Macaca mulatta: one gene and its partner. The protein of the gene in region 2 interacts with the protein of the main gene of each other region in a biochemical or structural test. Links are inferred from orthologs where the notes say so. Each region holds a gene or a part of one and is shown on either strand. Other genes may lie near its edges. The genes, in order: MINK1 and LATS1.

Region 1 (9,348 bases), on a different chromosome or scaffold from region 2:
GATCCTGCTGAGGAAGGGTCCTGTAGCTCCAGTGCAGTGGAAGGGACTGAGGGCCTCTCTTCTGTGTCCAGCTCTGTGTGACATGCACCCCATGCGGGCCCTCTTCCTCATTCCTCGGAACCCTCCGCCCAGACTCAAGTCCAAGAAGTGGTAGGTCTCTGAGAGTGTGGGCTCTGGGAAGGAAGGTCCCTGGACAAGGTCATCCCCACCTTCATGCCCTCTGTGCTCAGGCTCGGATCTCACCAGAGAAGAGATTTTGGGGGGCAGAGGGCGGTGACCGGTGTTGGGATATGAAGACAGGAGGGATGTCAAGGTGGCTTGTGGATGAGTGATCCACCCTCTTTCTCCTGCACCCATCCCTTCTGAGGGGACCCTCCTAGTGTGAGCCACCACTGTTTCCAGGTCTAAGAAGTTCATTGACTTCATTGACACATGTCTCATCAAGACTTACCTGAGCCGCCCACCCACGGAGCAGCTGCTGAAGTTTCCCTTCATCCGGGACCAGCCCACGGAGCGGCAGGTCCGCATCCAGCTTAAGGACCACATTGACCGATCCCGGAAGAAGCGGGGTGAGAAAGGTCAGTGGGCAGGCTGGAGGGGCAGGTACTAGGGGACACTCCAGCCTGGCTCCTCTCTGCCAGCCCTGCTCACTCCTGGCTTCCCTTCCTGCTCCCCTCCTTGGCCCCAGCTCTCCCTGTCCAAGGAGATCGTTCTCAAACTTGCAACAGCCGAGGGGTTTTCCCTCCTTTCCCTCCCAATCTGGGTCAGCCCTCCAGAGGAGGACCGGCCTTTCACATCCTTATGAAAACTCCATGCTAAGCACATACGTGTGCGAGCCCAGGCACAGGCTCTGCCACACCTCAGCTGCCCAGGGACCCAGTCCTGGTCCCTGTCCGGGCCCACACCTGAGACACACTGTCCTCCCATTGCTCCCAGGAAGTGGGTGGGGCCCCTCATGCGTGCCCACCCAGACAGACCTTCTGGTTATGCCCACCCGAGGTTTCCCTAGCCCACGGCGGGGTCTGGGGTACTGGGTGAGTTAACAGCAGTGGTCTCCCCTGCAGAGGAGACAGAATATGAGTACAGCGGCAGCGAGGAGGAAGACGACAGCCATGGAGAGGAAGGAGAGCCAAGGTAGGCCTGGCAGGCGGAGCGGGGGTTGGGGGGTCATCACTGAGTGGGGGGACTACAGTGGTGCTTGGCTTTGGAGATGCTCGGCCTGGGGGTGATGGGCACAGAGAGGTAGAGACTCCTAGAAACCAAATTCCTGAGTGCTAAGAAGTGGAACAAATGAGTGAGCAAGAGCTGGGGAGAGAGCAATTCAGGGTGAAGGTGGGGCGCAGCAGTAATAGGAAAGGAGGATAGGGCTGAAGACCGGGCAGCAGGGGACAGTGAGTCTCCTGGCCACCTGGGAGTGGCCAGAGGCAGAGGCTTTGATCCAGTTAAAGCACCCGCTCAGGCGGGCCCACGGGGTTGAGAGTGGGAACCAACAGGGTTCTGACCCCAGCTCTTCTTTGTGCCACCCCTGCCCAGCTCCATCATGAACGTGCCTGGAGAGTCGACTCTACGCCGGGAATTTCTCCGCCTCCAGCAGGAAAATAAGAGCAACTCAGAGGCTTTAAAACAGCAGCAGCAGCTGCAGCAGCAGCAGCAGCGAGACCCCGAGGCACACATCAAACACCTGCTGCACCAGCGGCAGAGGCGCATAGAGGAGCAGAAGGAGGAGCGGCGCCGCGTGGAGGAGGTGGGCTGTCTGCCAAGGGCCCAGGCCTGGCGCGGCCTCCTGCTGACCTTCCCAGGGTCCATTAGGGCCTCAGGGAGAACAGGTTTTAAAATGCCTTAAATGGGGCCGAGCGCGGTGGCTCACGCCTGTAATCCCGGCACTTTGGGAGGCCGAGGCGTGCGGATGATGAGGTCAGGAGATCGAGACCATCCTGGCTAACACAGTGAAACCCCATCTCAACTAAAAATACAAAAAATTAGCCGGGCGTGGTGGCGGGCGCCTGTAGTCCCAGCTACTGGGGAGGCTGAGGCAGGAGAATGGCGTGAACCCGGGAGGCGGAGCTTGCAGTGAGCTGAGATCCAGCCACTGCACTCCAGCCTGGGCGACAGAGTGAGACTCTGCCTCAGAATTAAAATAAAATAAAATGCCTTAAATCAATGGCATTTCTGTTGAAACAGTTACATGATTTCAAATTTCATGATTAGCTGGACTTAACAAAAAATGTGTCTAAATAATAGGCAATAGACCAGATGCGGTAGCTCACTTTCGGAGGCTGAGGTGGGTGGATCACCTGAGGTCAGGAGTTTTTGAGACCAGTCTGGCCAACATGGTGAAACCCCATCTCTACTAATAATACAAAAATCAGCCGGGTGTGGTGGCACGTGCCTGTAATCCCAGCTACTTGGGAGGCTGAGACAGGAGATTCACTTGAACCCGGGAGGCAGAGGTGAGCAGAGATCACACCACTGCACTCCAGCCTGGGTGACAGAGTGAGACTCCATCTCCAATACTACTACTAATAGTAATAACCCGGCCGGGCGCGGTGGCTCAAGCCTGTAATCCCAGCACTTTGGGAGGCCGAGACGGGCGGATCACAAGGTCAGGAGATCGAGACCATCCTGGCTAACACGGTGAAACCCCGTCTCTACTAAAAAATGCAAAAACCTAGCTGGGCGAGATGGCGGGCGCCTGTAGTCCCAGCTACTCGTGAGGCTGAGGCAGGAGAATGGCGTGAACCCGGGAGGCGGAGCTTGCAGTGAGCTGAGATCCGGCCACTGCACTCCAGTCTGGGCGACAAAGCGAGACTCTGTCTCAACAACAACAAAAATAATAATAATAACCCGCAGCATCCACACTGTCCACCTGCTACCCCCAAAGCAGGCCCTCTCATTGTTGAACAAAAAATAATTTGCAAGAAAACCTGCTACAGAAGAGCCTTGTGCAGTTTTGAAAATATAGGCCGGGCGCGATGGCTCACGCCTGTAATCCCAGCACTTTGGGAGGCCAAGGCGGGTGGATCATGAGGTCAGGAGTTCAAGACCAGCCTGTCTAATATGGTGAAACCCCATCTCTACTAAAAATACAAAAAATTAGCCGGATGTGGGTGGTGCACACGCCTGTAGTCCCAGCTACTCGGGAGGCTGAGGCAGGAAAATCACTTGAACCCGGGAGGCGGAGGTTGGTGTGAGCCAAGATCATGCCACTGCACTCCAGCCTAGGGAACAGAGCAAGACTCTGTCTCAAAAATAAATAAATAAATAAATAAAATAAATAAATATAGCGTTCAGATAGCATAGTGACAAAGTCCTATCTAACGGCGTGGAGAAGGCGTGCCAGCAACTTCATTGCAGGAATAGGCACAAGTTCCCTCAAGTGTAAGGGCCCCTTAGGGCTTGCGCTTTTGTTGTTGTAGGCGGTGGTGGCGGTGGTGGTTGTGGTAGACTTTGTGATCGGAAATACCGTGAAAGTCAAGTACCACCTGGGCATCGGGGCTTGCCAAGGAGCGGGCCAGGTCCCTTTTCTGTGCTTTCTGTGCACGGGCACCTGGTGCCCTCTTGTGGCCAAAGTCTATCGCTACGACCCGCTCTGTATGGACTTCAGGCAAAGGTCGGTTTTAGGCTAGGAGTGCTGGGGATGCTTGTTTTGAGTTCGGGTTTTGTTTGTTGTTTGGTGGGGTGTGGGTAGGGGAAGGTGTTGTCTAGCTAAGCACACCCCACAGGCAGCGGTCAGTCTCACAGCCTCTCTCATCACAGCTACTGGCTGTTTTCCCGAGCCCAGCCCCGCGGGCCCTTGGGTGGGGATGGGTATAGTTACAGAAACAAGCGCAAGCCTCCGTGGTGAGCAAGGAGAGCTCCCTCCCTGTCCATGGAGGGACAGTGGTGCCGCGGTGTCCGGTATGGTCCTTAAGACCACCTGGCTCTCCCCATAGCAACAGCGGCGGGAGCGGGAGCAGCGGAAGCTGCAGGAGAAGGAGCAGCAGCGGCGGCTGGAGGACATGCAGGTTCTGCGGCGGGAGGAGGAGCGGCGGCAGGCGGAGCGCGAGCAGGTAGAGCGCCGCACCCACATCCCTGCCCTCCCGCCCTCCCGCTCCTGCTGCCTGCCGCCCCTGCTCCCCGTGCCCTTCCCCCTTCTCTCCCCCCCACCCAGATTCCTCCTATCTTTTCTAGCTTCACTCTTTCTCTCTGTTTTCTCCCACCCTTCAACCCCAACCCTGGCCCCCTCCCTCCTCCTTCCCTGCCTCATTCCCATCTCTGTACCCCATCCCTGATTCTCCCTGGCCCCTTCCTCATCCCCCTCATTCCCTGTGCCCTCTTCTTCCCCATCTGTGCCGCGTGGCCCCCCGGGGCTCATGCCATCCCCTCCCCTACCTCTCTCTTACTTTTCCCCTGCACCCCCTCATCCTCCTCCTGCGGATCCCTTCCTCCTTCTCCAACTCGCTGCTGCTGCCCTCCTCTGCCTCTTCCTCCTTCCCTGCCCTCTGCCCCCCACCCTACACCCCGCCCCCCAGGAATATATTCGTCACAGGCTAGAGGAGGAGCAGCGACAGCTCGAGATCCTTCAGCAACAGCTGCTCCAGGAACAGGCCCTGCTGCTGGTAACGGGTCCCTCAGCGTCCTCTGGGAAGATGCTTTTCAGAGCTTCTTTGCTGGAACGGGATGGGAACACTTCAAGGGAAGGGATTCACCCAAGACATCAAGGGAATACATCTCCTCTCTAGGCAGTTGGAGAAAAGAGAGGGCATGCCTGCTCTGACTCCCAGGCCACACTCTGCTGAGCCCTCTCTCCCTACCCTTGGGCCCAGGAATACAAGCGGAAGCAGCTGGAGGAGCAGCGGCAGTCAGAGCGTCTCCAGAGGCAGCTGCAGCAGGAGCATGCCTACCTCAAGTCCCTGCAGCAGCAGCAACAGCAGCAGCAGCTTCAGAAACAGCAGCAGCAGCAGCTCCTGCCCGGGGACAGGAAGCCCCTGTACCATTATGGTCGGGGCATGAATCCCGCTGACAAACCAGCCTGGGCCCGAGAGGTACTCACTGCCTCCTTTGCCTCCTGAGACTGCAGTCCCACTGCCTGAGGCCTGGAGAGCCACAAGAAGTGGTTGTTCACAGGAACAGGCACCGAGCAGGGGAAAGGAGCACACAGCACACAGCATAGGACAGGAGTGGTGAGGGCGGGCGGGGCCCTCAGTTTTGAGAACAGGGAGGCAAGAGCTGGCCTGCTTGACATCCCTTCACATCACAGGTAGAAGAGAGAACAAGGATGAACAAGCAGCAGAACTCTCCCTTGGCCAAGAGCAAGCCAAGCAGCACGGGGCCTGAGCCCTCCATCCCCCAGGCCTCCCCCGGGCCTGCAGGACCCCTTTCCCAGACTCCTCCTATGCAGAGGCCGGTGGAGCCCCAGGAGGGACCGCACAAGGTGAGTCTCTCCCCACTCCTGTCTTACTGCAGACACAGGGAGCTTTGCTCAGAGCCCAGGTGCACACACACACACACACGCACACACACACCTGCTCAGCCCTGAGCCAGGATTCCAGAGCACAGGCTATGTGGACAGACACACTCACCTGCTTCTTGCTGCCTATGTCTGTCCTGACTTAGCTGTCCTCAGGCTCAAGGAACCCCTTGTCCTTCAATGGAGGAAGGGGCAACTAAAGTCCCTTCCCACCTCAGACCCCGATTTGCAGGTGGGGACCTGCCATGGAGCAGGCAGCCCACCCTCCCTGGTCTCTCCCTGCAGAGCCTGGTGGCACACCGGGTCCCACTGAAGCCATATGCAGCACCTGTGCCCCGATCCCAGTCCCTGCAGGACCAGCCCACCCGAAACCTGGCTGCCTTCCCAGCCTCCCATGACCCCGACCCTGCCATCCCTGCACCCACTGCCACGCCCAGTGCCCGAGGAGCTGTCATCCGCCAGAATTCAGACCCCACCTCTGAAGGACCTGGCCCCAGCCCGAACCCCCCAGCCTGGGTCCGCCCAGATAACGAGGCCCCACCCAAGGTAAGGACAGCCTGTGGGCCCAGGGAAAAGCAAGGAACTAGTCATGAGGAGAAGGAGGGCAGTGAAGGGGCCGCATGGGGAAGAGTGCAGGGCGGGAAGCCAGAGAAAGCTAGGGCGCTGCCCAGCAGGGCTCAGCCGTCCAGCTGAGGAGGCAACGTGGAGGTGTGGCATTGATGCCCCTGGGGAGCGTGGGAACGGAGAAACGCCCAGGGTGTTTCGGGGCCGCTAAGGGGCAGACTTTGTGAGTTAGAACCGCAGCTCCAACCATCTCCCAGCTTCATAACCTTGGACGTATTCACTAACTTCCCTGAACCTCAGTTTTCTCATCCATCAAAGTGAGGAGCTCACCTCTCAGAGGTGAGGCTCAAACATCTCTGAAGTGCCCGTCGCAGCGCCAGCTCGCAGCACGTGGACTTCTCTCCACAGGTGCCTCAGAGGACCTCATCTATCGCCACTGCCCTTAACACCAGTGGGGCCGGAGGATCCCGGCCAGCCCAGGCAGTCCGTGCCAGGTAATGCCTGGGTAGGGCAATGCCTGGGTGAGGTCTGAGGACAGCCTAGGGAGTAGGGGGGCACAGGGACTTTACCAGCCTACCCACCTAGGGGTGGGCAAGCCCCAGCCCCATCACCTCAGCGCCCCCCCGCCCCCTCGGCACCCCTGTGCTCCCTTCACAGACCTCGCAGCAACTCCGCCTGGCAAATCTATCTGCAAAGGCGGGCAGAGCGGGGCACCCCAAAGCCTCCAGGGCCCCCTGCTCAGCCCCCTGGCCCGCCCAACGCCTCTAGGTAATGGAGTCGTACCCCGACTCACTCCCACCTCTCACTTCTGCCACCTGCTTCCCTGGTGATGGCTCCCTCTGCAGTGCAGCTCAGCACCCCAGAGAGGGGAGCACCCTGCCTCCCTGACCCTGACTCTGCCCCCCAACAGTAACCCCGACCTCAGGAGGAGCGACCCTGGCTGGGAACGCTCGGACAGTGTCCTCCCGGCCTCGCACGGGCACCTCCCCCAGGCCGGCTCACTGGAGCGGAACCGCGTGGGAGGTACGTGAGCCAGGGCTGGGCAGCCTGCTCTGGGCCTGGAGTCTTATCAGGATGGACCCTGCCTTTGGTGGCTTTGGACTGGGACACCCACAGGGACAGGGAGGACCTGCGTGGGTATGGAACTCGGGGCTGAGTTCTGGGGCTCAGGGGCAAGGGGTCAGCCCAGGTGTGGGCTTGAGGCCATCCCTTGTCCAGGCATCAGTGACCTTTCTTCTTCCACCCTGCCATGTCCAGCCTCCTCCAAACTGGACAGCTCCCCAGTGCTCTCTCCTGGGAATAAAGCCAAGCCCGATGACCACCGCTCGCGGCCAGGCCGGCCCGCAGTGAGTCGCCTGGTGGCCGGCACCGCCTGCCTCATCCTGGTTTGGGGCTTAGCCCCAGGGAGCTGGGTGCCAGGGGGGGTCTCCGCGGATCTACTGGGAAGGGCTGTGGGGATGGAGGGACTGGTGCTTCTCATGCTACTAACCTTTTCTAACCTCTTTCCTAACATCTCTCCTGGCTCGCTCTTCCCCTGCGGCCCCTCCCAGAGCTATAAGCGAGCAATTGGTGAGGTTAGTGAGATGGGCCTGCTTGTGGGGGCCCCTCCTGTCACCTTGCTGGGGTGTCCCAGCACCCTTTGTCTGCCTCCACCCAGGCCCACCTTCTCCCTGCCCCTCACGTGGCTCCTCCCCGCAGGACTTCGTGTTGCTGAAAGAGCGGACCCTGGACGAGGCCCCTCGGCCTCCCAAGAAGGCCATGGACTACTCATCGTCCAGCGAGGAGGTGGAGAGCAGTGAGGATGACGAGGAGGAAGGCGAAGGCGGGCCATCAGAGGGGAGCAGAGACACCCCTGGGGGCCGGTACGGCATCGGGAGTGGGGCCCTCCCACTCCAAGGCACAAGGAGGGAGGGGAAGTGGCAGTGGAGGGAGAGGTAGGGCTTTGGGGCAAGTCTGAGGGAGAACAGCGCCCTTCTCTAGAGAGTGGGGTGAGGGTGCAGGTTCCTGTCTCTCTCCTGCTGTCCTGTGTGTTGTGGGGTGGCCTCTCCAAGTGCCTGTCTGCTCCTGTGCCAGCCTGCCCTGTGTGCCATGCAGGGAAGCACCTCACGGTGGAACAGGGACTACCCCGTGAGGGTGGAGCAGGTTGTGTTTTGAATAGAGACAAAAGCCTGGGCTCTGGCTTCCATCTGCTGCCTTTGGCACTTCTGTGGCCACGGGCAGGACCTGGAGAGGCCCCACCTTCCTCTCTCACAGCAGCGATGGGGATACAGACAGCGTCAGCACCATGGTGGTCCACGACGTCGAGGAGATCACCGGGACCCAGCCCCCATACGGGGGCGGCACCATGGTGGTCCAGCGTGTGAGTGAGCCTCCGCTGCCTCCCCTGTAGCTGTGTGTGCCCTCCTCAGCCCCGTGCCGACCCTGCCCTCTGTCCTGTAGACCCCTGAAGAGGAGCGGAACCTGCTGCATGCTGACAGCAACGGGTATACAAACCTGCCTGACGTGGTGCAGCCCAGCCACTCACCCACCGAGAACAGCAAAGGCCAAAGCCCGCCCTCGAAGGATGGGAGCAGTGACGTAAGTGGGCCGGAGGCAGGTCCGCTGGGGGAGAAGAGCCCGGGCGGTGGGCAGGAGGTCTGGGTGCTGGGTCATGGCAGAGGATGGGGCGGAGCGCTGGGAGCTGGACAATGGGGGTGCCAGCTGGGGAGCTGGAGCCTGGGAACAGCAGCAGGGGCAGGGCCGCAGCTGGACTTGCACTTGTTTGCCTGACTGCTGCCCCCCCACCACAGTACCAGTCTCGTGGGCTGGTAAAGGCCCCTGGCAAGAGCTCGTTCACGATGTTTGTGGATCTAGGGATCTACCAGCCTGGAGGCAGTGGGGACACCATCCCCATCACAGGTGAGGACGGGAGGACAGACCTGCCATCAGGCTGGGGTCCAGGGGCAGCCTGGAGGGGAGCATGATGGTCTTGAGACGCAGCCTCACAAAGCCACAGGACCTCTCCCTTGGGCTCTAGCACCTGCCCGGGCAGAGAGAAGGAAGGGCCTCTGCGACCCCTCCACAGGAGAGAAAATGCTCACAGTAGCCAGGGGACCTGGGCAAAGACTCAAAGCTAGCAAGTGACAGAAATGGGACTTGAGCCAGGCCTTCTGACTCAAAAGGGGGGTCCAGCACTCTATCCCCCTCTCCCGTGCACCCCTTCTCCTCCCGTCTTTTTCCTTTCTGTGTATTATGAGGCGCCAAGACCTGATATAGGGGATGGAGGTAGAAAGAGATGGGGTGAGAAGCTGCAGCCCCTCCTCCCGCCTCCTCCTCCTTCTGGCAGCCCTAGTGGG
Region 2 (9,005 bases):
TTGTTCAAGCGATCCTTCCACTTCAGCCTCCCGAGTCCCTGGGACTATAGGCGCACCACCACATCCAGCTAATTTTCTGTATTTTTAGTAAGACAGGGTTCTCACCATGTTGGCTAGGCTGGTCTCCAACTTCTGGCCTCAAGTAATCCACCTGCCTCAGCCTCCCAAAGAGCTGGGATTACAGGAGTGACACCACTGTGCACGGCCAGTATCAACCTATCTTCAAGTTCACTGATTTTTTTCCTCTGACATCTTCACTCTGCTATTGAGACTATCCATTGAGTTTTTTATTTTGGTTATTTTTCCATTATAAAATTTCTTTTTGATACTTTATATCTTCAATTTCTTTGCTTGAGACCTATCTTTCATTTCATGAGTGTTGATCCTTATTTGGAGCTTTTTTTTTTTTTTTTTTTTTTTTTTTTTTGAGACGGAGTCTCACTCTGTCGCCCAGGCTGGAGTGCAGTAGTGCGATCTCGGCTCACTGCAACCTCCGCCTCCCAGGTTCACACCATTCTCCTGCCTCAGCCTCCTGAGTAGCTGGGACTACAGGCGCCCGCCACCACACCCGGCTAATTTTTTTTATATTTAGTAGAGACACCACACCTGGTTAATTTTTTATTTTTAGTAGAGACAGGGTTTCACCGTGTTAGCCAGGATGGTCTCGATCTCCTGACCTCGTGATCTGCCTGCCTCAGCCTCCCAGAGTGCTGGGATTACAGGCGTGAGCCACCGCGCCTGACCTGGAACATTTTTATAATGGTTACTTTCAAGTCTTTGTCAGAAAATTCTAGCATCTATGTCATATCAATACTGACTGACTTTTTCTATGTTAGTTGAAATTTTCCGGGTTTTTTGGTTTTTTTTGTTTTTTTGTTTATACTAAGTAATTTTGGATTGTATCCTGGACATTTTAAATAACACATTATGAGACTCTGGATTTTTTTTTTTTTTTTTTTTGAGACAGAGTCTTGCTCTGTCACCCAGGCTGGAGTGAGTGCAGTGGTGTGATCTTGGCTCACTACACCACCTAAGTTCAAGCGATTGTCCTGCCTCAGCCTCCCAGGTAGCTAGGACTATAGGCACGTGCTACCACGCCTGACTAATTTTTGTATTTTTAGTAGAGACGGGGTTTCACTATGTTGGCCAGGCTGGTCTCGAACTCCTGACCTCAGGTGATCTGCCTACCTTGGCCTCCCAAAGTGCTGGGATTACAGGCGTGAGCCACAGGGCCCAGCCGAGACTCTGGATCTTATGGATAATTTTGACCTTGTTTTGACAAGCATTAAACCTGGTTGGGTTCAGGCCACAGGTTCCAACCAGGCTTTTTTTATTTCAATGTCGGTTTCAAAGCCTTTTTTCCTTTCTAGGCAGATCTCTTTGTAGGCTATGGTCTTTTCCTTAGTTCAGTTCTCAAAGTCTTTGTTACGCTCCTTAGGATTAGATTCACATAGGTACAGTTTGGAGGGGGAGCCCAGCAGTTCATAAGCAACTTAATGGGGTCACTTGCCCAATCTCCTCCCTCTCTGTGATGTCCCCAGTACCTTCTTGTTCCCTGGGGCTCCCTATTTTAGTTCTCTGACCAGAAAGTGAGGTTTCACTTACCCAATATCTCATAACTGCACCTGAATCCAGGACAAGGTGGCAAAAGGACACAGAGAGAAAACAAGCAACAGAGATTCAACCCATCTTATTGGGACCCTATGCTTTATTATCATTTTATTTATTTATATATTTATGAGATGGAGTCTCACTCTGTCGCCCAGGCTGGAGTGCAGTGGCACAATCTTGGCTCACTGCAACCTCTGCTTCCTGGGTTCAAGTGATTATCCTAACTCAGCCTCCTGAGTAGCTGGGATTACAGGTATGCACCACCACACCCCACTAATGTTTTTTTTTTTTTGAGACAGAGTCTCGCTCTGTCACCCAGCCTGGAGTGCAGTGGCGCGATCTCAGCTCACTGCAAGCTCCGCCTCCCGGGTTTACGCCATTCTCCTGCCGCAGCCTCCTGAGTAGCTGGGACTACAGGCACCCACCACCTCGCCCGGCTAGTTTTTTGTATTTTTAGTAGAGACGGGATTTCACCATGTTAGCCAGGATGATTTCAATCTCCTGACCTCGTGATCCGCCTGTCTCGGCCTCCCAAAGTGCTGGGATTGCAGGCTTGAGCCACCACGCCCGGCCCACTAATTTTTGTATTTTAGTAGAGACAGGGCTTCACCGTTTTGGCCAAGCTGATCTTGCACTCCTGATCTCAAGTGATCTACCCACCTCGGCCTCCCAAAATGTTGGGATTACAGGCGTGAACCACCGAGCCCAGCCCATGCTTTGTTATTTTATTTCCAATTGGAGAGGAGGGTTCATCTGTCAGTTTTAGGGGCATATTGGCTCTTATTGTCACCTCCATTGCTACCAGGAAACTCCTTTTCTACTCCCTGAGCCTGAACTAGAGGGACTTCTCCTCTAGCTCTCTGTCTGTGCTCAGCTCCTTCCAAGTTTGGGGCTACCTTGAGTCCAGCCTGCAGACTACTAGAGTGAAAAAAATGGAGCTGGGTGTGCTGGCACAGGCCTGTAGTCCCAGTTACTCGGGAGGCTGAGGTGGGAGGATTGCTTGAGGCTAGGAGTTCAAGACCAGCGTGGACAACATAGTGAGAATCCTGTCTCTTATTTTTTTTAAATGGTCACCAGGTTTAATGGTACTTCAAATTTACATCTTCTCCCCAAATCTACCTGTTATTATTTACTTTTCAGGGTCTTGAAGTAGCTGCTTCATGTATCCTGATCAGGTTTTATAGCTGCCTTCTGTGGGAGAGAGACGGGAGAGTATACGTAGTACCTCCTCAAAACTGGGACCTCTCTGGTTGCTTTTAGGATTTTTTTCTCTTTAACTTTAGTTTTCTTCAATTTGACCATGGTGTGCCTATGTGTAGTTTTCTTTGTATTTTTCTTGGTTGAGATTCACTCAGTTTCTTGAAATGTACATTAATGACTTTCATCGATTTGGGGAAATTCTCTGTCATCTCTTCAAAGATTTATTTTGCTTCCTTCTCACCTTTTGAGACTCTAATGATTATACATATGCTATTCCTTTGATATTGTCCTCCATTTCTCTTATGCTTTATTCTTTCTTTTATTCTACATGTTTTCTCTCTGTGCTTCAGTTTATATAATTTTATTCATCCATCTTTGAATTATCTGAATCTTTTGCTGTGCTTAGTCTTTTTTTTTTTTTTTGCCTTAAACTAAAAAATCCTAAATACACATTAAAATAAAAAATGTTAAACTTGGCCAGGCACAGTGGCTCACGCCTGTAATTCTAGCACTTTGGGAGGCCAAGGTGGATGGATCACTTGCGGTCAGGAGTTCGAAACCAGCCTGGCCAGCATGGTGAAACCCTGTCTCTACTAAAAATACAAAAAAATGCCGGGCGCGGTGGCTCATGCCTGTAATCCCAGCACTTTGGGAGGCCGAGGCGGGCGGATCACGAGGTCGGGAGATCGAGACCATCCTGGCTAACACGGTGAGACCCGTCTCTACTAAAAAAAATACAAAAAATTAGCCGGGCGTGGTGGCGGGCGCCTGTAGTCCCAGCTACTCAGGAGGCTGAGGCAGGAGAATGGCGTGAACCCAGGAGGCGGAGCTTGCAGTGAGCTGAGATCGCGCCACTGCACTCTAGCCTGGGCAACAGAGCGAGACTCCGTCTCAAAAAAAAAAAAAAAAAATTAGCCGTGTGAGGTGGCAGGCACCTGTAATCCCAGCTACTCAGGAGACTGAGGCAGGAGAACCACTTGAACCCAGGAGGCAGAGGTTGCAGTGAGCCGAGATCACGCCACTGTACTCCATCCTGGGCAACAGAGCGAGCCTCTGTTTAAAAAAAAAAGGAATTGTTCATCTCATTGTATTTTTTTTTTATTTCTCCTGTTTGAAATAAGTGATGGAACTGGAAGCATAAATAACTATTATTAACTGTATCTTTTTTTTTTCCAAAAAGGTTTTAAAAATATTATATTATTAGTTGAAGCATCTCAATTTTCTAATCTGGGGTAAGACTTTAAAAGGAACAAATAATAGAAGAGGGAGTACATTTTCTTCCCTCTGTAGTAGCTGACTAGCTCCTCTATGAATAAGTAAGATTATAGTGTTCATTTATTCATTATTATTAAAACTTTTTAACAAATATTTATTGACTACCTACCATGGAACAAGTTGAAGATTTTTTTTTTCCTCTTTTGAGACAGGGTCTTGCTCTGTCACCCAGGCTGGAGTGCAGTGGCACAATCACGGCTCACTACGGCCTCAGCCTCCCTGGGCTCAGCTGATCCTCCAACCTCAGCCTCTCAAGTAGCTGGGACCACAGATGTACACCACCAACCTGGCTAACTTTTGTATTTTTTGTAGAGATAGGCTTTCGCCGTGTTGCCCAGGCTGGTCTTGAACTTCTGGGCTCAAGCAATTCACCCACCTTGGCCTCCCAAAGTGCTGGGATTACAGGTGTGAGCCACAGTGCCTGCCCAAGTTGAAGGTATCTTAACTTGGTTAAATGACAATTCTACCACTTAATAGAGTTTGCCCCAAATCCATTTAATATCGTACTTGGAGTTGTATACCAATTCCCCTGCCTCCAAGAGTTCAGCGGGAGAGACTAGGTAGTCTGACTTCACTTGGCATTCCTTTCTTCCTCATTTTATTTTATTCATAACCAGAGCTTTTTTTTTTTTTTTTTTTTTTGAGACAGTGTCTCACTGTGTCACACAGGCTGGAGTGCAGTGGTGCAGTCATGGCTCACTGCAGCCTCAAACTCCTGGGCTCCAGGAATCCTTCTGCTTCAACCTCCTGAGTAGCTAGGACTACAGATGCATGCCACCATACCTGGCTAAGTTTTAAAGTTTTTTTTGGTAGAGAGGGGGTCTCGCTTTGTTGCCCAGGTTTGTCTTGAACCTTCCCAGCTTCAAGCAGTCCTCCCACCTCTGCCTCCCAGGGTGCTGGGATTACAGACAAGCCACCACGCTTGGCACCAGAAAAAGTTTTATCATAATGTATTAAGTATGTGCCAGGCAATTTACTGAGCACTAGGAGATACAAAGACCACTAAAACATGATCCCTAGCCTTAATGGAATTTTATATTTCAGTAGGACATAAACATAAATAGGTACCATAAGGTATTAAAAATGTGATAGAAATAAATATATGGTAGAGGGGAGGCAGAGTAGAAGTAGTCATTTCTACCATAGGCAAAAAGGTTTACTAGGGGAGATTAAAACTGACACTGAGTCTTATAATGTGAGTAGAAGTTGCCTGGAGAGGATGGGATAGGAGAACAAATTATTTTCCAGCAAAATATCATGTAATTTATTTAAAATACAAAAATAGCCCAGTGAGACTTTTGGTATAAAACTTGAAGGAAATTTTTATTTTTCTAATTTATCTCTTCCCCCTAATTTTAAAAAATCTTTAAAGGTTATCAACTGGCAAACATCTCTTCACATTCCACCACAAGCTAAACTCAGTCCTGAAGCTTCTGATCTTATTATTAAACTTTGCCGAGGACCCGAAGATCGCTTAGGCAAGAATGGTGCTGATGAAATAAAAGCTCATCCATTTTTTAAAACAATTGATTTCTCCAGTGACCTGAGACAGCAATCTGCTTCATACATTCCTAAAATCACACACCCAACAGATACATCAAATTTTGATCCTGTTGATCCTGATAAGTTATGGAGTGACGATAACGAGGAAGAAAATGTAAATGACACTCTCAATGGATGGTATAAAAATGGGAAGCATCCTGAACATGCATTCTATGAATTTACCTTCCGAAGGTTTTTTGATGACAATGGCTACCCATATAATTATCCAAAGCCTATTGAATATGAATACATTAATTCACAAGGCTCAGAGCAGCAGTCGGATGAAGATGATCAAAACACAGGCTCAGAGATTAAAAATCGCGATCTAGTATATGTTTAACACACTAGTAAATAAATGTAATGAAAATTTGCAAAAGGGCCTGAAATGCGAGGTGTTTTGAGGTTCTGAGAGTAAAATTATGCAAATATGACAGAGCTATATATGTGTGCTCTGTGTACAATATTGTATTTTCCTAAATTATGGGAAATCCTTTTAAAATGTTAATTTATTCCAGCCGTTTAAATCAGTATTTAGAAAAAAATTGTTATAAGAAAAGTAAATTATGAACTGAATATTACAGTCAGTTCTTGGTACTTAAAGTACTTAAAATAAGTAGTGCTTTGTTTAAAAGGAGAAATCTGGTATCTATTTGTATATATGCTAAATAATTTTAAAAGACAAGAGTTTTTGAAATTTTTTTGAAAGACAGTTTTAGTTTTATCTTGCTTTAACCAAATATGAAACATACCCCGTATTTACAGAGCTCTTTTTTCCCCTCATAACCTTGTTTTTGGTACAAAATAAGCTAGAGAAATTAAGCCATCGTGTTGGTGAGTGTTCCTAGGCTAATCTTAATCTGTATAATTCACATCCTGAAACTAAGGAATACAGGGTTAAAAAATATTAATATGTTTGTCAGAAGGAAAGATAATGCATTTATCTCCCCGCCCCCATGGAATATTTAATCTTCTTGCATTTATTTCTCAAGAATTACTGGCTTTAAAAGAAGCCAAAGCACTACTAGCTTTTTTTCCATATTGTTATTTTTGATGCTGCTTCCAATTTTAAAAGGGAACAAAGCTGCCATAAATAAAAATTTTCAGTACTGAAAGCTAAAATTTTTTTCACCATCCTAAGCAAAGAATTATTTTCATGTTCATGTACTTTTCCTGTATAGTAACTATTTTGATTATATTATCAATGTTACCTGTTTCCTCTTTCAGAACAGTGCTGCATATACAGATTGTTATTGGCAAAGGAAAATCTGGCTATCTGGCAATATTTTACCTAAGGGCAGATTAATTGGTGAAAAAATTAACTCTTAAGATGGCCATTAATAATTAGAAAAATTTACAGAGTGGTCTTAGTAGAAAATTCAAGTCCTCCTAATTTATTTAAGGTTAAATAATGTGTTCAACATGACTATTATGTATAATGCTTAGGTTCTAAGGAAGATTAAGGTTCTATACCAAAATACATGAGCTTATCTTTTAGGAAGGGGAAAAAGGCTCTATTTTGACCATAGTAAAATTTGTATTTTATTTCCTTTTCTTAAGCTCCATTGATAAGGGATTGTTTTTATCAAAAGTTACTATTTGGGGATTGGAGGCATAATTTTAATGATTTTCATACTTTTAGCTTTCTTCACATAAAAGCTAATTGAAACCATATATGTAGTAAAATTAAAGGCAGAGCTGTTGCAGTTGAATTGGAGAGTCAGGGCAAAGAACACTTACTAGCCCACACTTCCTACCTTTCTACAGGTGGTCCTTTCAGAACTCAGCTTGGAAACCTACTACTATGTTATCATGGGTCTTTCGGGGTTAGTGGTTCTTTTGAGAATCTGAAGGAAGCTGTGGACTCTTCCCAGGAAAAAAAAAAAAATCAACACATACAATGTTGCATGCAGTTTCAAGGGATTTTGGACATATTGAAACCTATCACAGGCTCTAGGTTATGGACCTCGGTCCCATGAGAAAATTGATATATTAAACTAAGAACTTTGTTTTTAACTTACCAATCACTACTCAGCACATCTTATATAAACTGATAATTTGTGATGGAAAAGGTCTGTAACATGTGATGTAAGGTGACCTTATGAATGCCTCTCTTGCTGGTACATTAATTTGTTTTAAATGTATCATTTGGAGGGGACTGAAATGTTGGACTCATTACAAGCTTGATACAGAAATATTTCTGAAGGATTTCTAATTGGAATTATAAGAAAATGTGCTCTCATGAAATGGCAGTCTTCACCTCTTGGTTCATGGAACATTTGGTTAGTCCCATAAAATCCTATGCAAAACAAAGTAGTTCAAGAATTTTTAGGTGAGTACTCACATTTATAAGGTATTCCTCTTGCTCTTTGGGCTTTTTCAATCTGATTTATTTAAATTTTCATTTAGTTGTTTTACTTTTGGACTAAGGTGCAATACAGTAGAAAATAACTTTGTTACATTTATGTTGTAGGAAATCTAAGGTGCTGTCTCCTCCCCCTTCCCTTCCCACAAAATCTGTATTCCCCCTATTGCTGAAATGTAACAGACACTACAAATTTTGTATTCTTTTTTTGTTTTTTGTTTTGAGACAGGGTCTCACTCTGTCACCCAGGCTGGAGTGCAGTGGCGCTTCACAGCTCACTGCATCCTCGACATTTGAGGCTCACGCAGTCCTCACACCTCAGCCTCCCAAGTAGCTGGGCATGCGCCACCAAGCCCAGCTAATTTTTGTATCTTTAGTAGAGATGGGGTTTTGCCATGTTGCCCAGGTTGGTCTGGAACTCCTGGGCTCCAGTTATATGCCCACCTCAGCCTCCCAGAGTGCTGGGATTACAGACGTGAGCCACCGCGCCTGGCGCAAATATGTATTCTTTTAAAATTTCCTCTGATACTATAAGCCTTTTGCATTTATCTGAAGCAGTATACATGCCTTTGGTATCAGCAATTTTAACAGTTTGGATATACTTATCAGCTGTCTTATTCCAAAACTACATCTACTTCTTCCAGTATAGAATCTGGTGCTTCCTGACCAAAAAGATGAGAAAAACAATGTTAAAAATATAGATACTTTCCATTGAAATGGAGTGAAAACGTTGGTTCTGTATGTTTTCTTTTAAAATAATTTTCTCATAAAAACTTGCTGTCTTTATTGTACTTACCCTTTTTATGCATATCAATAGTATTTATAAGATGTGTTCTATAATTATGTAATTGTAGATACTGTTATGTATTGTCCAGTGACATCATAAGGCAGGCCCTACTGCTGTATCTTTTCTACCTTCTTATTTGTAATAGAAACTATAGAATGTATGACTAAAAAGTCACTTTGAGATTGACTTTTTTAAAAAGTTATTACTTTCTGCTGTTGCAAAGTGCAA

The links.
Region 1: of the proteins of LATS1 (region 2) and MINK1, one has a biochemical effect on the other in vitro, tested with the Homo sapiens proteins (2 studies listed by BioGRID). The link is inferred for Macaca mulatta from reciprocal best matches to the Homo sapiens genes LATS1 and MINK1.

What each region holds. Positions count from the first base shown.
Region 1 is NC_133421.1:6,427,173-6,436,520, forward strand, and holds part of MINK1 (misshapen-like kinase 1), read left to right. Parts: intron 1-71; coding exon 72-150; intron 151-402; coding exon 403-578; intron 579-1,064; coding exon 1,065-1,134; intron 1,135-1,533; coding exon 1,534-1,744; intron 1,745-3,932; coding exon 3,933-4,049; intron 4,050-4,511; coding exon 4,512-4,598; intron 4,599-4,805; coding exon 4,806-5,024; intron 5,025-5,239; coding exon 5,240-5,413; intron 5,414-5,734; coding exon 5,735-5,995; intron 5,996-6,421; coding exon 6,422-6,507; intron 6,508-6,670; coding exon 6,671-6,781; intron 6,782-6,923; coding exon 6,924-7,036; intron 7,037-7,270; coding exon 7,271-7,359; intron 7,360-7,563; coding exon 7,564-7,587; intron 7,588-7,711; coding exon 7,712-7,875; intron 7,876-8,266; coding exon 8,267-8,372; intron 8,373-8,452; coding exon 8,453-8,590; intron 8,591-8,802; coding exon 8,803-8,911; intron 8,912-9,338; coding exon 9,339-9,348. UniProt on the Homo sapiens protein: Serine/threonine kinase which acts as a negative regulator of Ras-related Rap2-mediated signal transduction to control neuronal structure and AMPA receptor trafficking.
Region 2 is NC_133409.1:68,169,078-68,178,082, reverse strand, and holds part of LATS1 (serine/threonine-protein kinase LATS1), read left to right. Parts: intron 1-5,458; coding exon 5,459-5,968; 3' UTR 5,969-9,005. UniProt on the Homo sapiens protein: Negative regulator of YAP1 in the Hippo signaling pathway that plays a pivotal role in organ size control and tumor suppression by restricting proliferation and promoting apoptosis.